Linked DNA regions of Saccharomyces cerevisiae S288C. The gene in region 3 interacts genetically with the main gene of each other region. Each region holds a gene or a part of one and is shown on either strand. Other genes may lie near its edges.

Evidence for each region.
Region 1: mutations in BCS1 (region 3) and AHA1 together harm fitness more than expected from each alone (negative genetic interaction), as found in Saccharomyces cerevisiae (2 studies listed by BioGRID).
Region 2: mutations in BCS1 (region 3) and RDH54 together harm fitness more than expected from each alone (negative genetic interaction), as found in Saccharomyces cerevisiae (2 studies listed by BioGRID).
Region 4: mutations in BCS1 (region 3) and SHM2 together harm fitness more than expected from each alone (negative genetic interaction), as found in Saccharomyces cerevisiae (2 studies listed by BioGRID).

Annotation. Positions count from the first base shown.
Region 1 is NC_001136.10:890,361-895,444, reverse strand, and holds AHA1 (Aha1p), read right to left. Parts: upstream 2,571-5,084; coding exon 1,518-2,570; downstream 1-1,517. Other genes in the region: DNA-binding transcription factor ADR1, read right to left, coding at 1-410; YDR215C (uncharacterized protein), read left to right, coding at 943-1,356; UPC2 (Upc2p), read right to left, coding at 2,953-5,084. UniProt on the Saccharomyces cerevisiae protein: Co-chaperone that binds to the molecular chaperone HSP82 and stimulates its ATPase activity.
Region 2 is NC_001134.8:380,560-387,254, reverse strand, and holds RDH54 (DNA-dependent ATPase RDH54), read right to left. Parts: upstream 4,144-6,695; coding exon 1,267-4,143; downstream 1-1,266. Other genes in the region: PFF1 (Pff1p), read right to left, coding at 1-969; YBR072C-A (uncharacterized protein), read left to right, coding at 4,234-4,395; chaperone protein HSP26, read right to left, coding at 4,581-5,225; YBR071W (uncharacterized protein), read right to left, coding at 6,209-6,695. UniProt on the Saccharomyces cerevisiae protein: Involved in the recombinational repair of double-strand breaks (DSB) in DNA during mitosis and meiosis. Has DNA dependent ATPase activity. Promotes D-loop (displacement loop) formation with RAD51 recombinase.
Region 3 is NC_001136.10:1,223,038-1,228,363, reverse strand, and holds BCS1 (bifunctional AAA family ATPase chaperone/translocase BCS1), read left to right. Parts: upstream 1-1,827; coding exon 1,828-3,198; downstream 3,199-5,326. Other genes in the region: ARH1 (NADPH-adrenodoxin reductase), read right to left, coding at 61-1,542; WIP1 (Wip1p), read right to left, coding at 3,338-3,607; PHO92 (mRNA-binding phosphate metabolism regulator), read left to right, coding at 3,970-4,890; FRQ1 (frequenin), read right to left, coding at 5,033-5,326.
Region 4 is NC_001144.5:256,760-262,084, reverse strand, and holds SHM2 (glycine hydroxymethyltransferase SHM2), read left to right. Parts: upstream 1-2,683; coding exon 2,684-4,093; downstream 4,094-5,325. Other genes in the region: FRS1 (phenylalanine--tRNA ligase subunit beta), read right to left, coding at 1-1,106; REX2 (Rex2p), read left to right, coding at 1,538-2,347; putative mannosidase MNL2, read right to left, coding at 4,230-5,325. UniProt on the Saccharomyces cerevisiae protein: Interconversion of serine and glycine.

The DNA.
Region 1 (5,084 bases), 330 kb from region 3:
CAGAGGCCACAGGGATAAGGTTTTTCATTTGTATGCGATCTGTAATGTCTTTTCAAGTGCTCTTGTCTTGCGAACGCTCTCGTACAAACCTCGCAAACAAATGACCTTAGTTTCCCACTGGGGGTTCTACCATTAAGCCTTAAATTTTCGGGCAACTTGTCCAGTTGCTTGTTAATCTTGGAGTTCATATTATTATTTGTGGTAATGATCTTTCCATCTGGCGTCCTCTGTATCACAGAGAAAGTGTTTGAGTTTTCTCTGGAAGCTGATGATGACATTAATAAAATCGGTGAATCATCCGTTTCCATTTCTATTTCTTGTTTCTCATTATTGAAGCCGTTAGAAAAGCACGAATTCAAGTCAACAACGGGAAAGCCTGAACAATCGTTTGGTTTTTCTACGTTAGCCATAGTAATAGAGTATGATTATTTTTTTTATATTTTTTTTTTTTGGAAAACAAAATTCTTATAGTAAAGTAAGGAATAGTAGCAGAATATTTTTCTGAAGTGTTTATAATAAAGGGAGAACCGGGAAAGTAGCAAAATGATTGGTTAATTTATGCAAATCAATCTTATACTTCCAACGAATAAGAGGGAGTATATCAAAACAGAGTAACAATAAACTTTTGCTATGACACCTTTTCTTTCTTTCAAAGATAAAAGAATAAGGCTTTTCTATAGTAGTCGAGCAAATGTTGGAATAAGGAGGTATGGAATTTTGAAAATAGCCTGAGAAATTCAGATCAATGATATATAACTGTTGTCTTCAAAAGGTCTTCAAGGGAAGAAAATTTCCGATCGGAAGTCCAGAATAAATACCACAAGTATAGCACAATAAACAACAGCACAACAACAATAATAACAACACCTGTAGCGAAAACGTTTTCCTATTTTTAAGGCGTTGTTCTTTGAAAACCTGTGGCGAAGTAAAACATGAAAACAAATGAAAACACCGCCAAACCAAGAAAAGAACAACGAAAAAATATCACTTTTATTTAGTTCACAACGGCTAACTATCGACGTTCACCCTTCCTCAGTCTATCACATCGTCCTTAGCTCGAACAACGCCGATAGGCATCAAGTTACATTGAGCTTTACTGCACGTTCCCGCATGATGCCATTGACTAGGGCCCGCCCTTTCGGCAATCATTCTAGCATGTTCCGCATGTTCCTTGACGCCATGGTCATCCTTGCCGTCGCCTCCGGCGTTTCCCTTCCCCCTCAGCTGCCAGGGCGCCGTTCACACAACGCAAGCACACCCGGCGCCAAAAAACCGGGGAAAGACCACGGCGCTATGGTTTCGGAGTTTCCCGCCAATGGCGTTATAACTCCAGTTTATTTTCCTCTTCGTTGGTAAATTCCGGGGAGGCCGTCGGCGCCGGGCCGCAAAAGTAGGACGGGCGATCGGAGCCGCGCGGATGCCGTACAGAACTACATGATGTATTGCATTCTATCTATGCCAATAGTGGTATGTAAATATTTACGCATACTTTTATTGAAACATGAGAACAATATATCTTATAATACGGCACCAAAGCCGAATGTCAATTTAATAGAACGCACGTAGTATTCTTCAAAATTAGCGCGCACGCGATCTTCCTCGCCAACGGGTATGCCAGTCCACTTCACCTGTAATTTGGTTTCATGGAATTCTTGCGACTCATGGAAAGTCATTTCGATAGTAGAGTTGAAAGGGGCAGACCAATCCTTGAGTTTCCAGTGGAAAACAAGTTTCTTGTCCTTTTCGCATGAAACCAACTCGCTGATCACGTTGCCGCCAAAGAGCTCGAATTTTTCTTTGGTCTCCAGCTTCGGTCCGCTGTTGAAAAATTGTGCTGATCTGGTCCAGGCCAATATGCGTTGCTTATCAAGGAACGTTTCGTAGAGCTCGGAGGAAGGCACATTAAAAGTTGGTTCTAAATAAATAGATGTACTATTGCCGCTTCCGTTTTGGGGGACTTTGTTGGTGCTGGAGACTGGTGCTGAAGTTGAAGTAGAAGAGGGAAGTGCATTCTTTTTTGGCTTTGAAGCGGAGTCCTTGATTTCGGTAAAGCTACTTTTTTGGTTACCTCTTGTGTAGTTAGATTTCACCTGAGATTCGGGCACCTGAATGTCATTACCATGGGTGGCCAGCAAATCCTTGCCAAATTGTTGGAAAATTTGTCTCAACTTGGGCAATAACTCGGATCTAATTAGTGGCTTGGCTTCACTCAATTCGCTAGTCTCCTTAAATATAGATATGTCAAATTGATAGCTTGAGGCCTCGCTATCGAAGGCAACTTCAGGAACGTTAATGCTACCCTCGAATGGCAATGCCGATCCGTCCTTAGAGTCCACGTGTCCCTCTATTAACACCGTGATTTTCAAATCAAACAAAGATATAACCTTCCCCTTACGCTGATTAACTTCACAATCACCTTCAATGGACGAAACAGACTTGATTTTGGCATACTTTTTATCCTTCACCGAACCGGCCTCCACTCCAACCAGTTTCTGTTTGAAATACTCCTTGGCCCATCCGATGCAGTTCTTATCGACCCAGTGCCAGTTATTTGGGTTATTCACGACCATATTGATATATTGTTGCTACTATAAACGATTAAGAATAAGACTGAAAGGAATAACGAAAGTAAGGAATTGCCTCTCTATCAAAGTTTCCTATACGAGTGAACTTTCAAAATGCCTGCAGTTCTTTTTGTATTTGCATTACACATAAAAAAAAAAAAAAAAAAAAAAAAAAAAAAAAACTAACTACTTTTATATAATACAATTACAGATATGTTCATTCTCCCACATACAATGCGGTAAGTAGGCATTTTGAATCCATCTTGGTTTGTTGCGAGGCTTCTTTGTTTTTTCTTCTAGAAAATTCCATTGTGAACTGGGTAACACAATATCCCTTTTTTTTTTTTTGGGAATCTATTTCGAATATTCTGCACTTTTAAATTTTCTATCATAACGAAAAATCAGAGAAATTTGTTGTTGTCATCGATGGTAATCCGCCACCGAGGAAATCTAGCATCATATGCATACCACCACCTCCACTGTATTCGTCAACATCTTGAGGCAGCACCTGCGTGACTCCTTCGAGAAACCAGACTTTATCCTTGACCTCTGTGGCAAATCCTCGAAGTAGTTTATAATATGATCTCATAATTCTCATTGCACCTAAATCACCTGTCATCAGTAATGCCAGGAATGTCTTGTCTAGCAATGCTGGAAATGTAAATACCCGCAGAATAAAATCACCCTGGTTTTTTTCACGGTGCAATTTATCTAAATAAGCTAGTGTTATCAAATATGGCGAATCTAAGCCGACAGGATACAAATCGGCAATACTTTCATCAAAACATACCAATTCAGTAATTGTTCCAACATCAGGGTTAATGACATCGCCTAAATCGCTAAGATCAACAGATATAATGTTATGAAATTTAGATCTTTCACTCAAAGGCCACACAGCGGTTAAAATTGTTGCAGCACCTTTGACATGAAAGATCCAAGCGCTTGGTGACATGCTATTCAAACTTTGGTTTCCTACAGTGCCGTTACCACTAGCATTTGCTAACGAGTCCATGATTAGTATCAGGGCGCTGGCAACTAGCGCATCGGTGTTATTCTCAGATATTTCTAAAACAGCTTCTCTTAATAATCTCAGAGCGTCTAGGCGGTGAGATGAAACGTATTGCTCCAGTCCAGTTTCAGTCCTCGAAAGATGGGTGGCACTGAATGCCAACAAAGCGTGCATTAAAAATGGATAGTCAAATGCTAACTCCGGTATGTAGTCCCTCCATATTTCAGGCCCAGAAACTTTGGCCGCTGTAATCGTAGGCCAGACCTTTGTGCAATAATGATGAAACAGTTTCATGTCTATCAGGTTCAGATTGCCTTTGGTAGAAAGATCTAAAAGCTTAGCGATGTTACTGGTACCAGCAGAAACAGAACTTCGGTCAGCTTCGTTATTAATTTTTGAGGTCATGTCTTGCCGCGATGCATCGTCTTCATTCTCTGTCTGTGATGTTTGTAAACTTATCGTTGGTTCGTTGTTCTCCAAGGCTGCTTTTGTCAGATTTCCTAGAGAACTTATAGAATCTTGCATCTCTTGCCTATCATTCAACACTGCAGAGGGCGTTGATGGAGAAATGTTGCTGTTTCTGTTCATGTTTCTTTCAATCATTGATATAGGCGCCATTGTCGAAACCGCATCAGCCGCCTGAGGTTCCATAATACTAGCACTTCCCCCTTGGGCGTTATTCGATGGCGCTGGACTCTTCGTATCAGAGAGCTGACCATCATTCTCCTTTACAGAAGCAGCTGCACGTTCATGATGCTCTTGCATATTGGCCAAAGCTTCCTCTGCGTTGCTGGCCTTAGTAGCTCTTGAATTGCCGTTATTTATTGGAAACTTAATACCTAACAGTTCCTGAAAGTCATAGGAAACACCACCAATACCAGCTGTTGGAAAGGTACTTAACGACTTTAGGCTTAGCCCCATCTTACTTAACTGAGATAATGCATCAGCTTGTAATGTAGCAGCATCGCTGTTTAAAGTAGTTTCGCTTGTTTGTGATTGTAAAGGCCCTTCCTTTACCTTTTTGCTGTTTTCTTCCTGAACGCCACCTTCCTCATCGTTAGGTTGTTGCTCTTGCTGAAGCAGTACTTGTTGCTGCTGTTGCAAAAAATGTTGTTGGTATTGCTGGAGTTGTTCCTGTTGTTGTTGCTGAACTTGTTGGTGTTGTTCCTGACGTAATTGTTGATACTGCTGCAGCTGAACTTGCTGATGCTGTTGCAATTGCAGCTGCTGGTGTAATTGATATTGTAATTGTTGTTGAGTGTAGTTTTGGCCGGAAGGAATCCTGTTACATAGTAACATCCCGCTTAGACTATTTGATAAGCTCATTCCCGTGGATTGCAATGCAGGACTACCCGCAAGATCGAATGAACCATATCTCTCGTTTGGAGTTCCACTTGCTTGCTGCGCTTGGGTCTGTGGTTGAGATTGCTGCTGCACTTGCTGCTGTTGCTGAAGTTGGAACGCACCCATATTTCCAGAAGGCAATGGCGGTAATAGTAAGCCATCGATAC
Region 2 (6,695 bases), on a different chromosome or scaffold from region 3:
TTGTAAGGAAGTATGTAGCATATGCCATAAAGATGCCTTGGAGGTATATTGTATTGAATCCTTTATGGTATGATAAAGGTTTCTCGGTTTGTAGAATGCGACATCCCAGCCTCTCATGCCATTTTCTTCGTAAATCTTGTAGTCTGTCTCACTCCTGACATATCTGCTATAAAAACCTTGCTGGTAGATAGAGTTACCAAATGGATTTTCCTTAACAGACTGTTGGTATATTCTTGCTGTTGAAGTATCTGAAGTTCGGAACAGTACAGCTTTACCACCAGCACCAGTTCCCTCTAAATTTATCACATACTTGGTTAAATTAGACCATGAGTGATCAAAATAAGTTGATGCACCTAGTAGGCCAAACTCTTCATTATTATTAAAGTTGAAAATTAAAGTCCTGTTCGGTCTGTGCTTTATATGGTACTTGAGGTTCGCTAGTAAAGACACTACACCCATGCCGTCATCGGTAGCTCCATATCCTGTGGGTACAGAGTCGAAATGAGCTGAAAGAAGTAACCCTTCTTCCTCAGGATTTTTACCCTCAAGCTTAACTAATATATTAGAAGATTCAAAATATGTCACTCTCGAAAACCTAGATGACTCATTGAAAGGATCTTGTTGCTGAAATAATATGGATCTCTCGCTTTCTTTGTCATCTGAAACACTTGCAAACGAAGAATTCCCTGTAATTTCAAGAACCCTTTTGAGCAAGTAATCATGTACTTTATCATTTTCTTTGGACGTGTACGGATGAAAAGAGGCCGTGATAATCTGTAAGTCCCCCCATGCTGTTTCTAATAAGTCATTGAATTCAGGGTGCTCATCCTCTTTTGGTAGATTGAGTTTATAACGTTCATGATCAAAGATATAGAGTAACGTAATAATCGAATAGGTGATTAATAGAAGCAAACTCAAATTTGTTTTCCGGTACTTTAGAACTGATCTGAATACACTTTTTAATTTCATGCCGTGATTCTTTAACTTTACCTATCAATTTATTTCCTTGTAGATAATTTTTCACATTATTTTTTTTTTTTTTTTTTTGGGACTAAAGGCTATTCAAATCTTTCAGATGTTTGATTTGCGCCCGCAGCGTATCGTTATCAAATTAGTGAAAACGTGGATATCAACTTGAATCAGCAATAGGCCCTACTTAATATGTGACTTGAACCTGAATGAGTCGTGCAAGAATAAACCTATTAAATACAATCAGTGATTAAATAATAGCTATTTTATTTAGTATATAAGTGTCCATATTTGGCGTCATTGTTCTCTGAGACATATCTCGCCGGGCTTTACAAACGCAAAGGTAATACTATCTTTCAATTCGGTGAACGAATCTGTGATAACCTCATCAAATAATTCATCTTGTCTTGCTGGATCGATATGCTTATAATGAACGAGACATTGCCTAATGTATTGTGACTTTTTGGCATCATCGTTGGTGGCTGCTTCATTCATTTTCTTTTGTAAATCCAGCGCACTTGTCCATGTCGTAGTGCTACGCTTTCTCAGCTCTACGGTGTTCTGCTGTTGATTTGTTTCAGGATATTCAATTTCCTCACCTAAACCATCGCAAGAACAAATTAAGTCATGTGTGTTACTCTTGGTATCTGTATGGACAGAAAACAGGTCCTTCAAGTCCTCTTTATTGAAAAGATCATCATTAGAAGATTCTTTATTTCTCATCTCCGAGTCACCTAGAAATTTTTGGCTCAAACTGTTCTTCATTAATTGCCTTTGCAATATTTTCTCATCGATACACCCAGTTGTGACAAGTCTATATATGAAGCACGGCTTTTTTTGACCATCTCTATGAATTCGTGACATCGCTTGCAAATCTACTGAAGGATTCCAATCATTATCAAATAAAATAAGTCGCGAAGCACCGACTAGATTCAATCCTACACCTCCCGATTTTGCACTCAACAAGAATCCAAATATGGCTGGATTCCGATTGAAAGATGTGACGATAGAGTCCCTTTGTTTAGCAGGTATGGAACCGTCGAGTCTGCAATGTGACATCCCAGCCATATTCATCAAATTTTCAATTATATCCAATGTTTGAGTGTAGTTAGACACTACGACGACCTTCTCCTTGGTACCCTTCCTAATACCTTCTAGTAATGTCATTAATACCTTTAACTTACCAGAGTTCAAAGAACGACTATAGCTGTCCTGAGATTGGGTATCCTTTATATGTGATTTGTAATAGGGATCTGAGCCAACCAATCCAGGAGAGTTACAAACCTTTTTCAGTAATGTTATTAGTCCTAGCGAAGAACTGAACGTCAATTGTCCAAAATCTAAACGTGCGCCCTGCAAAATATCTTTGAATGCCAATATCTGTTGGCTGTATGGTTTACAGAATAAAATTATATCCGTCTTTGGAGGAAGGTACTTTTCTAAAATCGCATTTGTTCGTCTCAAAATAAATCTTTTCGTAATTTCTATCATCTCTTTTGACCTTTCTTCCCCCTTTTCCAACAATTCTTCGTTGTATCTGTTTGCAGTGTCTCTGGCTCTAGTTATAGGGATAATGAATCTTCTTTTGAAAGAAGCGAAGCTTCCAAGGATTCCTGGGTTTATGAAATCTATAATAGTGAAAAACTCATTAAGATCATTTTGTATAGGAGTTCCCGTAAGCAAAAGCTTCCTTCTTATGTCTAAACTCTTCAGCGTATTTAAAATTTTAGAAGCCCCGTTTTTTAGTCGATGGCCTTCGTCACACACCAGCATGTCAATCAAATGTTTATTTTTCTCTAATTCTTCAGAAACACTCAAGAGTTTTTCGTAGCCAATAATCAAGACTTGATAAGTTCGTTGCACTTTTAAAAAATTTCTGACAGCCATTTTATCCATATCAGGAGAATTCCTTGAGCTTAATGTCAAAACACCTATTCTTGACAAATTTAACCATTTTCCAAATTCTCTTTTCCAATTTCCTATTAAAGTAACGGGACAAACGACTAAAATCTTCTTACAAAGTCCAGTTAATGGTATGCCTGATTGCGAACATGAAACTTTTGATGCAAAAGGAGTTTGCCTAATTAATGTCCAAATCAAAGTTATACTCATTAGTGTTTTACCTAAACCCATATCATCAGCCAAAAGGCATCCACTAATATCTGAGTCATTTTCTAACACTAAACTTTTAGTAGTACAATCGATATCCGGATTTTCAATAGTTGGTCTTGCCAAGCCCATTAAGCAATCATACATGAACTTCACCCCTTCCCTCTGATGAGGGCGCAAGAATTTGCCCAGTAATGGATCAACAATTACGTCAACTTCAGCGGCTGCATTTTTGTTCATTACTATAGGATTATCGATTTTGTTGACATCAAATACTGGATAATATTTTTTGGCTTTGGAATTTTGACTGGTTTTAGGTACTGTGGTCATGTGTTCATTTGTTTGCTTTGTTACTGATTTGAATCTTTTCACAGTGTTTAGTGAAAACAGCTGAGACAGAGGCATTTGGTATTTGCCACCGTCATTCTTCGTAGAAGGCACTGTTTCTGTTGTGCTTGTGGTCGGTGGGCTGGGATTTCCCATGTTTTGTGATAAGGCTTCTTTGGCGCTACGTATTTCTGCATTTTCCTTCAATTCGTAATCCAATTGTACTTCATTGGAGCCTGCTTTGAAAAGAGTTTCGAAGAGAGAATCTGAATCACTTGGTAGCATACTTGACCCAAGAAATTTCCCTGCTTCGTTATAAAAGCATAACTTATCGCTACTGGCTTTTAAGGTAGCGTAGCCATCACCACTCCAAGTCTTGTGCTTTTTGGTAGTAGGCTTCCTGTACATGATAGTAAAATATCTAGTGTTTTCATTTGAGGACAGATTATTCGGCTTCTTGGCAAGATTTAAAGTAGGTCCCGCCGAAATGCTTCTTTTCAAGTTGACAGTAACTTTGGCTTTAGATATAGGGGCTGTTGTGACTGCAGTGGCGGTTGGTTTGAGTTGTGTGTACTTATTTGATCCAACCCTTCTTGGAGGCTTGAATGGCTTGTTCTCATATTTCGGTATCTGCATTTGAGTAGTACCGGAATCAAATACCGTTTGATATACCGAGCTGTTTTTTACCTCCTGTAGGATCTTCTCTCTTCGTCGAGGTTTAACGCTTATTACCGCCATTTCAATACAAAAACTCGATTCTAATCGGTTATTTATAGTAGGTTTTCTTTTTTTTTTTTAGCTCTTCGCGTTTTATTTTTTATTTTCTTGATGCATATATTAACGCGATCGAGTAAAAATGCCTTTCCCAGAAGTAGAAGTAGGCAAGACATCCATATTTCAAGCCACATCCATAGAGATACCTCCAACAGCGCGTTGTTGAAGATTTTGGTAATTACAAGAACGAGGTTAGATTCCTTCGTTAAAACTTAGTCAAAAATAACGGTCATATATCGAAGCCAAAGCAAGTTTTTATAACTATTTATTCATCAACTCATATATATCTAAACTAATTCTAAGAGGTAAAATCGCTCAGATGTGATGACCATATGTTTCAAGCCCATATGCAAGCAACAATGGTCCTCGCGAGAGGGACAACACTATAGAGCCAGGTCACTTTAGTTACCCCACGATTCTTGAGAAGAAACCTCAATCTTCTTGACGTGGTTCTTACCATCCTTCTGAGGCTTCAATTTTGGAACTGTTAATGTCAAAACACCATTTGCGTAGTCTGCTTTAATGTTGTCTGCATCCACACCTGGGTAGTCTGGCAAAGTGATGACTCTCTTGAACTTACCAGAGCTGCTCTCCTTGACCTTGACCTTGTCTTTACTCTCTTCATTCAAGGTAGATGGAATTTCACCAGAAACCAAAATTTGGTTCTTGTTTTGATGGTACTCAATATCAATGTCCTTCTTGCTTTTGACACCAGGAACCACGACTTTCAACTCGTAGTTGTTGTCATGGTCCAAAATATCAACTGGAACTGCGACACTTCTAGGGAAACCGAAACCAGATGGGAACAGGGACAAGTCATTGTCGAACCAATCATCTAAGGTTTCATCTCTGGGATCATAAAGAGCGCCAGCATAGTTATTTGGTCTAGCAACTTCCTTGCCAGTAGAATCCTTTGCGGGTGTGTTTGCTAACTGACGTCTTGGTGCGTAGCCTCTTAAGCCGCCTTCACCCAGCAATCTGTTAAAGGCATCAACTTCGTTGTTGATGTTGTCAAAGAAATCAAAAAATGGACTGTTAAATGACATGTTAATTTGTTTAGTTTGTTTGTTTGCTTTTTTGGATACCTGTTTTAATAGAGATCTGATATATCTTTATCGGTGGTTTTATTAGTATAAGAGAGTAGAATGAAAGGTGAATGGATTAAAAACAGATCTCTAACTAATGGAGGTCCTATTTATATGTTTAGGAATAAGGGTGAAAAAGAACCGTTGTTATGAAATACCACTCAAGAACGTGCATAGATCCGCAAGGACATCTAAAACTCGCATATTACTTAATTTTGTGTTGCGAGCACGCTAAGTGCGAATACCTTACTGTTACGAGCACCCTATATTTTTGGACGCATAAGGGGGAGGGAATAACCATCGATCTTTCTAGAAATCAAGCAATGCTTGAAAAAGCACTTTCGTTGGTTGTGGATGTTCATGTAAAGACGGTTACTATTCCGATCCAACAATGCACCTTGACAGGCAAGGTTCTTTAGGGGTACACACGGAGTTAGGGGTACACACGGAGTTGCTGCTGCCCCAGTAACATCCCAGTGATTACCAAATGAAGACACATAACCAGATTATTTTGTGCCACATTGCCAAGAAGGTAAGAGAATTGTGGCTTACTGTAAGCTACAGGTTCAACGGTGCATGCAAGATGGCCGCGTTATTTTTTTGGGGTCCCCCCCTGAGGCTTATGAGAGAGACCCATAGTCTTGTTTTCAAGGAGCCAAATTGCCAAATGAAAAGAAAAGAAAGTTAAAAATTCAATTAAATTAAACTAGGAGTAATGTTAGTGTATGTAGTAAGAAAATGATTGATGTGCGCAGAATATTGAAACGGAGACTGAAAACATTCTATTGACGGATTCCGAGCGAGAATCACGTAAAGAAGGTTCTAGAAAAAACATAAAAAAATGAAAAAACAAAGTGAGGTTGGAACTAGTAGAGCCGTTTAGGGACTCTTAATTAACGAATTGTCCAACATCAACAACAAAGTGTGTCCTATGGTAGGTTATATTAAAAAAAGTCCAACGATGTCCTTCTACTGGAACCCATATCCAGGTTGTCCAAATTTGATTCGTGCAATGTTTCGATAGACGCTGTCCTTGAGGAGGAGTCGTTTGAACAGAAGACAAAGAGAGCTTTAGAATCATCGATTGCTATTGTGTTGTTAATTTTGAAAGCGTCTGTTTTATCCATCTCTTCAATATCTTCGTACAACAAATCGTGAATGGAATAGTCATTATCTTGGGAAAATATGGAAGAGATCGAGCTCTTGGTGGAGGAAAGACTGGCGTCTGATTCGCTCCTCGTTGACTGCGTTGGTGATGGAGCCATCCGCAGCTTTTCTTCCTTTGCAGCGTTTGTTTGCATGTGCCTCATGGCCGAGTGGTAGTCTTTAAGCAGTGTTTCGTCCAGTAACAAGCTGCTCCTTTTTAACTTTGACTGACTAGATGTGCTTCTCTTATTCGTAGGAGACAGGAATTGAGAAGGAGCTGTGCCC
Region 3 (5,326 bases):
CAACCCTTTTAAAATATTTACATTTACAAGAAGATGTTAGAAATATATTAACGATCTATTTTATATGCCTTCTACACCGTTCCACAACTCTTCAAAAGTTAAAAACTTTGACCGAGTTTTGTGTTCCTTTTTGCCCCGAAGCAATTCCTTCTTGTTGATTCTTTCCCAATCCTTCCATGTGGTGTGCTTGATATTAGAGAGGTCGATAGAATTCTCTAAGGATAGCGCTCCGCTGACCACCAAGTCTTGTATTACTCTGTCTCCAACTTCAAAAGCATCTTGCATTGTCGAGGCAATAACGCCCTGGCTGCCCTTACGGATCCAACCAGATGCATATAAATGTGGGAATATTTCTCCGCTGGAAGTTAAAACACGACCCTGTTTATTAGCTATATGATCTTTGTCAAATCCAATAGACAACTTAGAGAATTCAGGCATGGGAACGCCTGCATATCCCAATGAAGTAATCAGCAAATCCACTTTATATGTCATAATATTATTGACGTCCTTCAAGGGTTGCAAACTGTTATCTTCATTTAATCGATTGTTACATAAACTCAAAGAGTTGATTGCACCAAAATCGTCTCTATTAATTTTCAAGGGAGTCTTCAAATAATCTAACTCCCAGAATTTGTCATATCCGCTGCTTGGAGGAGGAGCCTTTTTATAGTTTTTCTTCGAACGTTCATTAAATGGCTTGAGATACTCACTACACATCTCTACTCGTCTATTGAATGCACGATCGTACTTAGATGGGTCAAACATTTCTTTCTGGAAAAATTTAGGATCAATACGGCCACGTATGCCATACTTTTCTAACTCCCATAGTTCTCTTAATTCTTTGTTGGTGAATTTGGAATGAACGAAATCCCTTCGTGCAATTAGCTTAACGTCCTTTACAGGTGCCCTTCTTAGCAAATTTAGTGCAAGAGATGAGATGTCCGTATTTTCCCATATTTCATCAATTTGATTAGAAATAAGTACACGCGTAATATCAAGAGCAACGTTACCGTTTCCTATAATACCAACTTTCGAAACTTTGCTCCAGTCAAAATCGGTAAATCGCTTATCCTTTGCGAAATCAGGATGACCATTGTACCAATTGACAAATTCTCTACTGCTAAACACCCCTTTTGTTCCGAGTTCGCCAGGGATATTCAGCTTTCTGTCCCCTGTACAACCATAACTTAAAATAACAGCATCTTGATTATCCAGCAATTCCTTCAACAATATTTCTTTTCCAATGGTTATACCACCAACAAAGGAAAATTTATGCTTTTGGTTTGTAGGGGAAGAAAACTCTTCTGCACATGTGGTAAACGTTTCTTCACAATTTTTGACTTCTGGATGATCAGGTGCCACACCATATCTACTTAAACCAAAAGGAACAGGTAACTTTTCCCATATAGTAACATTTAATGGAATCGGTGACTTCTTGAGTAAATGGTACGCTGTATAAAAGCCGGAAGGCCCCGATCCAACAATGGATACAGTCTTACGGTTTATTTGTGAAGAAATGTGCCTTATTTGAACAAAGCTCATTTTCACAAGTAATGAGCTAAAAAAGGAAGAAGAAAGAGTGAGAAACTTTCTAAATGAATGAATGAGGCGTTGTGGCCAAGAACTATAGCAAGCAAAAAACTTTCTGTTACGTTCGAGCTATAGTTTACTGCTCTTCGAATTATATCTCGATTGAGTTACCCTTAAAGAGTGCCGAAAAATCGATGTAAATAGTATAAGTAAAGATTTCCACTCTTCTATATTTGCAACGCAGTAGACGTACCAAGGGACGATTTGAAAAAAAATGAAGTGTGCCCTCAATCTACCATGTCGGATAAGCCGATTGACATACAATATGATAAACAGGCTACTCCAAATCTGAGTGGTGTAATTACTCCGCCAACAAATGAAACTGGTAATGACTCAGTCCGGGAAAAACTTTCAAAACTAGTTGGCGATGCTATGTCAAACAATCCCTATTTTGCCGCCGGCGGTGGTCTTATGATCCTTGGTACAGGTTTAGCTGTAGCTAGATCCGGTATAATAAAAGCCAGCAGGGTCCTATACCGACAAATGATTGTCGACTTAGAGATTCAGTCGAAGGACAAATCATACGCCTGGTTTCTAACATGGATGGCCAAACATCCTCAAAGGGTATCTAGACACTTATCCGTTAGGACAAACTACATACAACATGACAATGGATCAGTTAGTACAAAATTTTCGCTGGTTCCGGGTCCGGGAAATCATTGGATTCGTTATAAGGGTGCTTTTATCCTGATTAAAAGAGAAAGGTCCGCAAAAATGATAGATATCGCAAACGGGTCACCATTTGAGACCGTAACCTTAACTACACTGTACCGTGACAAACATTTGTTCGATGACATTTTGAACGAGGCTAAAGACATAGCCCTGAAGACTACTGAGGGCAAGACTGTTATTTACACTTCTTTCGGCCCTGAATGGAGAAAGTTTGGTCAACCAAAAGCTAAAAGGATGCTGCCCTCCGTCATTTTGGACAGTGGCATCAAAGAGGGTATTCTCGATGACGTTTATGATTTTATGAAGAACGGCAAATGGTACTCTGACAGGGGTATCCCATATCGCAGGGGATATTTACTCTATGGCCCTCCCGGATCTGGTAAGACTAGCTTTATCCAGGCTTTAGCGGGCGAATTAGACTACAACATTTGTATTTTAAACCTCTCCGAAAATAATTTAACAGATGACAGATTAAACCACTTAATGAATAACATGCCAGAAAGGAGCATACTATTACTGGAAGATATTGACGCGGCGTTCAACAAAAGAAGTCAAACTGGTGAACAAGGTTTTCATTCTAGCGTAACATTTAGCGGTTTACTGAATGCCCTGGATGGCGTCACATCTTCTGAAGAAACTATTACATTCATGACTACCAATCATCCTGAAAAGCTAGACGCGGCTATAATGAGACCAGGTCGTATTGACTACAAAGTCTTCGTTGGTAACGCAACTCCATACCAGGTAGAAAAAATGTTTATGAAATTTTACCCAGGTGAGACTGATATATGCAAAAAGTTTGTAAATAGTGTTAAAGAATTGGATATCACCGTAAGTACCGCCCAGTTGCAAGGACTTTTCGTTATGAATAAAGATGCACCACACGATGCGTTGAAAATGGTCTCCAGCTTACGGAACGCTAATCATATTTTCTAGGTGCTAAGTGGCGCCTTACTACATAACTTGTATATAATAAAAATTCAGAAGATGCTTTAACTTTTTCTCGTTAATAAGACCGAGTTATTTGCTATTACGAACAAAAGAGTATATGATAAAGAGGCTTAAAAATACCCCTTCATTGACTATCCAGAAAAGCCTGCGTTGCAGCTTCAATATGATAAGGATATACTTCCCTCAAACCTTCTGCAGTTGCCCTTGTTCTAGCATCCAGCAGAATTTTTCTTAAAATGGCCTGAAATCCACATGCCAATAATAATTTCTTGTTATATTCTTGACTAGACTCTTGATCTTCATTTTGCCGTTGGAGAAGATCTTCTAGCTTATTCTCCTCCGCATCTAAACTAAGCTGCCGTAGCAAATAATTGGCCAATGCTTCCGTATCCATGGAAGAATGTTAGGAACTGTTGCTATTGTTGTACTTTGGTTATACGACAGTAAGTAACGTTGACTTGGTGACCGAAAATAGACACGAAATCGCTACCCGTTTCCCCAGAATATCACTCCTCACGATGTACCTCGGCGGCTAATCTTTTTGGTAGCCTTTTGTGATATATATATAAATAAATAAGTATACATACATATATATATATATATATTTATACAGCTACATTGTTTTCCTCCAAAATTTTCTGTTGGTTATGAATCGCAAAAGAAGTTTTCAGATTGTGTCCTCTGTTACTATTTCGTTAAGAAAGGAAGATATCGTCTACGGCTGGTGTGACGTAAGTATTGCGTTGTGCTCTAAAAATGAATCAAATCTGGTCTACAGGTCCCCCAAATTTTTACTTCAACTCTGAATGGAAAGAAAATAAGAGAAATGACAGGACAATTGAAGACTCTTTAAGAGAACTAGATGGGTTGATCCATTCCTTGGAGAGAACTCATATTGAAGTACAAACAAACCCAAAGCTAAAGAACGATGTCACAGCTTTAAATGATATTAACAAGAAAGAAAATAAAGAAGAGATCACTCATGAAAACTATACACACCAGATTAATAGTATTCCATTGACAAGCTCAAATTTAAATCGGCATTTCTCCTTTTCTAGAGACTACAACCAATCTGATAATAGCAATAATAATTATTACAGGGAATATTTATCCAAACCAAGGTATTTGCAGCAGTCAACTAAAGAACAAACTTTCAATGAAATTAATAAAAGAAAAAGTGCTGCAATTATTCCCCCTTGGTTAAATATTCCAGAAAACTCAAGATTTTTTGTAATAAAGTCCTCGTCTTTGAAGCATGTCAAAAGGTCGTTTTACAACGGAATTTGGTCGTCTACTCATTTCGGCAACAAAAGGCTATCTGAGGCATATAAAAAGCTTAATTCGGGAGCCAAAGTGTTTTTATTTTTTTCAATCAACACATCAGGAAGATTCTGTGGCGTTGCAGAAATGGTATCGGATTTGAAAATGGATTTGGACACCAGTATATGGGAAGATGAACAAAAATATGGCAAAGCCTTTAAAGTAAGATGGGTGATCGTGCGTGATATAAATAACAGATCGTTAAAAAGGTTTTTGATACCATCCAATGAAATGAAACCGATAACACATTCCAGAGATACTCAAGAAATTCCATATTCGATTGGAATTTCAATAATTAATCTATTTAAAACTCAAGATTCTGATATTTTCTCCTTCTTGGATGAGACGTATGAATAGACCTTATCCCTCATTTATCAACATTTTATTCTCATTTATTATTAGTATTATTATTATTTTTAATATTATTTTTATTTAAAATTATCCTAAAATTACTTCTACTGTTATAACATCCAATCCATAAGAAGCAAAAACAAAGTTTTCATATTAAGCCATCGTAAAGGTTTAAGGCACCAATAATAGAGGGATCGACTTTAGAACCTTCTCTGAATTCGTCCAGCGTAATGTAACCATCTTCGTTCTTATCCATCAACTTGAAGATCTTCTTTACCCTCATTTCGGGCGTTGCCTCATCCTCATTAAGTGTAACCATAGACCCCATCATTTTATAAACACTCGCCACAATGGTTAGCATTTCATCAAATGTAATATATCCATCATGGTTCAAATCATAAAGTTCGAAAGCCCAGCTCAGTTTTTCCTCCAAAGTTCCTCT
Region 4 (5,325 bases), on a different chromosome or scaffold from region 3:
GGCAAATTATTGAAACCATAACCGACAGCGGCATCTTCCATTATATCACAAGCGTGCAAAATATCAGGTCTAGTTACCGGAATGTCAACGTGCAAGATGTCCTTGTCTTCCTTTGATTGAACGGCATGCAACGACATCTTCTTTAGACAATGAGCAATTTCATCAGCGGATTGATCTAGGCCAAGACAGGAGTTGATGTACTTAATGGAGACATCCATAATTCTATCGTTGAAGTTTGGCGCCAAACGGGATTGGCCATTGTGTTCAGAGACAATTTCTACAGGCTCAACCGTGAATGGTTCGTCACAATAACGTGAGAACATTGTAGTTAATATGTTCAAAACGATCTCGGCTTTGGTCTTATCGGTGGCGGTTATATCAATCAAAATGTTACGGGTGTTCACAGAGATCTTCGAATGTTCACTATTGATTAATGGTGGCAGGGAGCAAACACGATCTTTGCTGTCCATAATAACTGGGAAGACTGGAGAATCCTCAATAATGTGAACGTATCTCCCTATGTTGTTTTTCTGTTCTGGAGATTTATAAAACTCGATCAATTTGTCACCAGTAAACTCTTGGGTTTGATTCAATGGTACGAACTTGATGTCCTTTGGTGGTAGAGCTCTGTAATGGAATGGACCTTCAATTGAATCTAAATCGTGAGTACCCATGGCAACCAAGCTTCTGTTTCTACATAGATTGGCATGTAATTTATCTTGCAAGGCAATAAAAGAAGCGTAAGATTTTTCGTTAAGCTTGATATTTCTCAATACAGCAGCGGTAGCAAAAGGTCTAATTTGCTCCGTTGATTTGTCGATGATCAACTTAGTGGTTGGCTTGCTTAATTTATAGTCAGGTCTTTCTTTACGTTCCAAGTATTCGTTCAGCGACTGTGAAATACCTTCGATACAAAGCAAATCGTAACGATTGGCACTGATATCAAGCTTCAATTCCGGCTCCTCCCCGGTTTTCAAGGCCTCCTCTGTGGTGTCTTCGTCCATTTCCATACCGAATTCAAAACATAATTCATCGAACTCTTGGGAAGTGTAGTTTTTGCCTAGAAGATCAAATAATTGCTGCTTGTTCACGGAGACGGTAGGCATGCTGGCTCGGTGTTATTGATGTGTGTTATGCTATTCTGCCCTATTTTTTGAACATTTGATCAACTCCAGGCTTTCGAGAAATACATTGAAAATTTTTCATTTCCTTCAATTTTCTTTCTTTTTTGGTACCGATTCTGAATAATCGGTCACCTCGTGTGTCGTGATAAATAATCAAGAAGATGTACTTTTATACAAGGGTTGTAGTCATCTGGGACACTCTCAGAGCACTGGCTCTGACGACAACCATCAAACGCATGCTCATACGTATAATTCAAGCCTTACATACACTGGTATTCCCTTTGGGGTGTTTCTTTTTCCTGTCAAGTTGGGCACTTAAAAGAACTAATAAAAAATCAGTGTGAACTTTTCGATTTGCAAAGAAAATGAAAAAAAAGAAAAGGAGCTTTCACAAATAAACAGAAGAGATCAAGATGAAGTGGTTGTTGTTTCCGGCAAGAATCGTAGCTCGCACTCGCCCAAACCTCTTCTCGCTGTACAGAAGATCCGTTTCACAGTACTTACGTCCTCGAACCATCCAAAACCTGCAATCAATGGCGCAAACACCCGAACTTAAAACCAAGCTGTTCAAACCCTTGGTCTGGATCGACTGCGAGATGACCGGTTTAGACCACGTGAATGACAGAATTATCGAGATTTGCTGCATCATCACCGATGGACACCTGGCACCCGTCAAAGCGGCCGATGGCCAAGGAGACTCGCATTATGAGAGCGTCATCCATTATGGTCCCGAGGTGATGAACAAAATGAACGAGTGGTGTATTGAGCACCACGGTAATAGCGGTCTCACCGCCAAAGTTTTGGCAAGTGAGAAGACTTTGGCCCAGGTAGAAGATGAGCTGCTCGAGTACATCCAGCGCTACATCCCAGACAAGAACGTTGGCGTCTTGGCAGGCAATAGTGTACATATGGACCGCTTGTTCATGGTCCGCGAGTTTCCCAAGGTCATTGATCATCTCTTTTACAGAATAGTTGACGTCAGTAGCATCATGGAAGTTGCCCGCAGACACAATCCCGCTTTACAAGCACGTAATCCAAAAAAAGAAGCTGCCCACACTGCTTATAGTGATATCAAAGAGAGCATAGCTCAATTGCAATGGTACATGGACAACTACTTGAAGCCACCACAGGAAACAGAGTCGGTCGAGTCAATCGGATCTGAACAGCCGGAGTCACCATCTTCATCTACCTCATCTTTGAAAAGACAACGCACCGATTTTTAATGTAGAAAAAAAAAAAGAAAAAAGAAGTGAAATTTTTCAAATATTTCACACACGAAACATGACTCCTGGTGAGAAATGACCCTTTCAGGTTGCTTTGACCATAAAGGTTTGACTCTATCTCTTGGGTTTCTCATGTTCGCTTTTTACTCTGTATAATTTTTAAATTCATAATCATCTTAGACCGAACCATGAGTCTTCTTCATCTTGTTTTATATATAATGCAGAACTTGCTTCCCTTAGTTTGCGTTCAGTAATCTTTCCTTCTTCTAGTGTAACCTTTACGAAAGATACTACCCCATAGCAAAGCATAACAGCTTAAACCGAATCCTCCTTAACATGCCTTACACTCTATCCGACGCTCATCATAAGTTGATCACCTCTCATTTGGTGGACACCGACCCTGAAGTGGACTCCATTATCAAGGATGAAATTGAAAGACAAAAGCACTCCATCGATTTGATTGCTTCTGAAAATTTCACCTCAACCTCCGTTTTCGATGCCCTTGGAACTCCATTGTCCAACAAATACTCTGAAGGTTATCCAGGTGCTCGTTACTACGGTGGTAATGAACACATTGACAGAATGGAAATTCTATGTCAACAAAGAGCTTTGAAAGCTTTCCATGTTACTCCAGACAAATGGGGTGTTAACGTCCAAACTTTATCTGGTTCTCCTGCTAACTTGCAGGTTTATCAAGCTATTATGAAGCCTCATGAAAGATTGATGGGTCTATACCTACCAGATGGTGGTCATTTGTCTCACGGTTACGCTACTGAAAACAGAAAAATTTCTGCTGTTTCCACATACTTCGAATCTTTCCCATACAGAGTTAACCCAGAAACCGGTATTATCGACTACGATACTTTAGAAAAGAACGCCATCCTATATAGACCAAAGGTTCTTGTTGCTGGTACTTCAGCATACTGTCGTTTAATTGACTACAAGAGAATGAGAGAAATCGCCGACAAATGTGGTGCTTACTTGATGGTAGACATGGCCCACATTTCTGGTTTGATCGCCGCAGGTGTCATCCCATCTCCTTTCGAATACGCTGATATCGTTACCACCACCACTCACAAGTCTTTGAGAGGTCCACGTGGTGCTATGATTTTCTTCAGAAGAGGTGTGAGATCTATCAACCCTAAGACCGGTAAGGAAGTTCTATACGACTTGGAAAACCCAATTAACTTCTCTGTTTTCCCAGGTCACCAAGGTGGTCCACACAACCATACCATTGCTGCTTTGGCCACTGCTTTGAAGCAAGCTGCCACTCCAGAATTCAAGGAATACCAAACTCAAGTCTTGAAGAATGCTAAGGCTTTGGAAAGTGAATTTAAGAACTTGGGCTACAGATTAGTTTCCAACGGTACCGATTCTCACATGGTTCTAGTATCCTTGAGAGAAAAGGGTGTTGATGGTGCTCGTGTTGAATACATTTGTGAAAAGATTAACATTGCTTTGAACAAAAACTCTATTCCAGGTGACAAATCTGCTTTGGTTCCAGGTGGTGTCCGTATTGGGGCTCCAGCCATGACCACTAGAGGAATGGGTGAAGAAGATTTCCACAGAATTGTTCAATACATTAACAAGGCTGTAGAATTCGCTCAACAAGTTCAACAAAGCTTGCCAAAGGATGCTTGTAGATTAAAGGACTTCAAAGCCAAGGTCGACGAAGGCTCTGATGTTTTGAACACCTGGAAAAAGGAAATTTACGACTGGGCTGGCGAATACCCATTGGCTGTGTAAAGAAATCACCACAACGACACTTAATCCCAAAAAAATAAACATTACTGTATAAGTATTCATTTTCTCCTCTTCTCATTATGTATATATGTACCTATATGTATGTATGTATGTGCGTACGATTTTTCTAACGTTAACTTCATTTCTTTTTGATTATGTGCCCTCCTTGAGTTAAGATGTGTTTGTCCAGGGAAACCTTGTCACCATCGCTGAATAGTAGCAAATAGTATTTTAATGTTCTGGAGAACCAATAGCTAGGTAAATCATTGTTCACTTTTTCACCGTTTTCATAAAATTCCTTTATTTGCCACAATCCTTTGGCACCACTGTTTAGTTCCATTAATTCTTGCATTAAGATTCCAAAAGACTGCTTACCCATGCTTCTCCATTTTTGTTCTCCACTGATTCTGTACATATAAAATATAGATTCAATGATATTCGAATCCAACAATCTTCTGGATTCTACCTTGTTGACCCAAAATGGCCAGTCTGGATGGTTTTTCCACTGAGAACCCATGGTATCGTCCGTTGTAATATGCGGTTTGATATCCTTACCAAGCGTAAAAACTCTACGTATTTGCGTTACTTCGTCGCCGTCTATTTCAGCAATCGATTTCGAGCTTCCAACAGTATCACCTTTTATGTTTTGAGTCTCTGTTATCCCATCTTTGCTTAGTACATTTCTCTTAGCTTTCTGGTCATTCCCACCTTTCCCATAATTCGAAACTTTGATCCCGACATCTAGGTCATTTTCAAAAGTTTCATATTCGCCGTTGGCAATCATTCGTGATTTAGTTTCGCCGTTAAACTCGCAATTCCCATTAGTCTCATCAGTGCAAGGGTCCAACTCGAATTTTTGAGGGAGCAGCCCGTCGAACTCCTCCATTAGCATAAAACAACTTTCTGTTATTATTTCGCTCATTTCCAATAGTGACGATGGTAAAATATATTTCGTGTTGACACCGCCTCGGTGGGGAACACGTGAACTTAAACCTAGAATGCCGCCAAGTCTGCATGAGTATAACGAGACATCGTAAGATTTTCTTATCGTGACATCTAGCTCATTAGTCGTGGGCATGAATTGAGATTTTGTTAGAATGGAATTCAGAAAATTAAACTTTTTGTTTTCCGTTTGCTTGGGCAACATGGGTCGAAAAGTCATGAATTTAAAAATGTTACTGATGGAATTTGTTAAAAACGTTTGCGAGTCTATTAATGATTTATCACCTACGGTG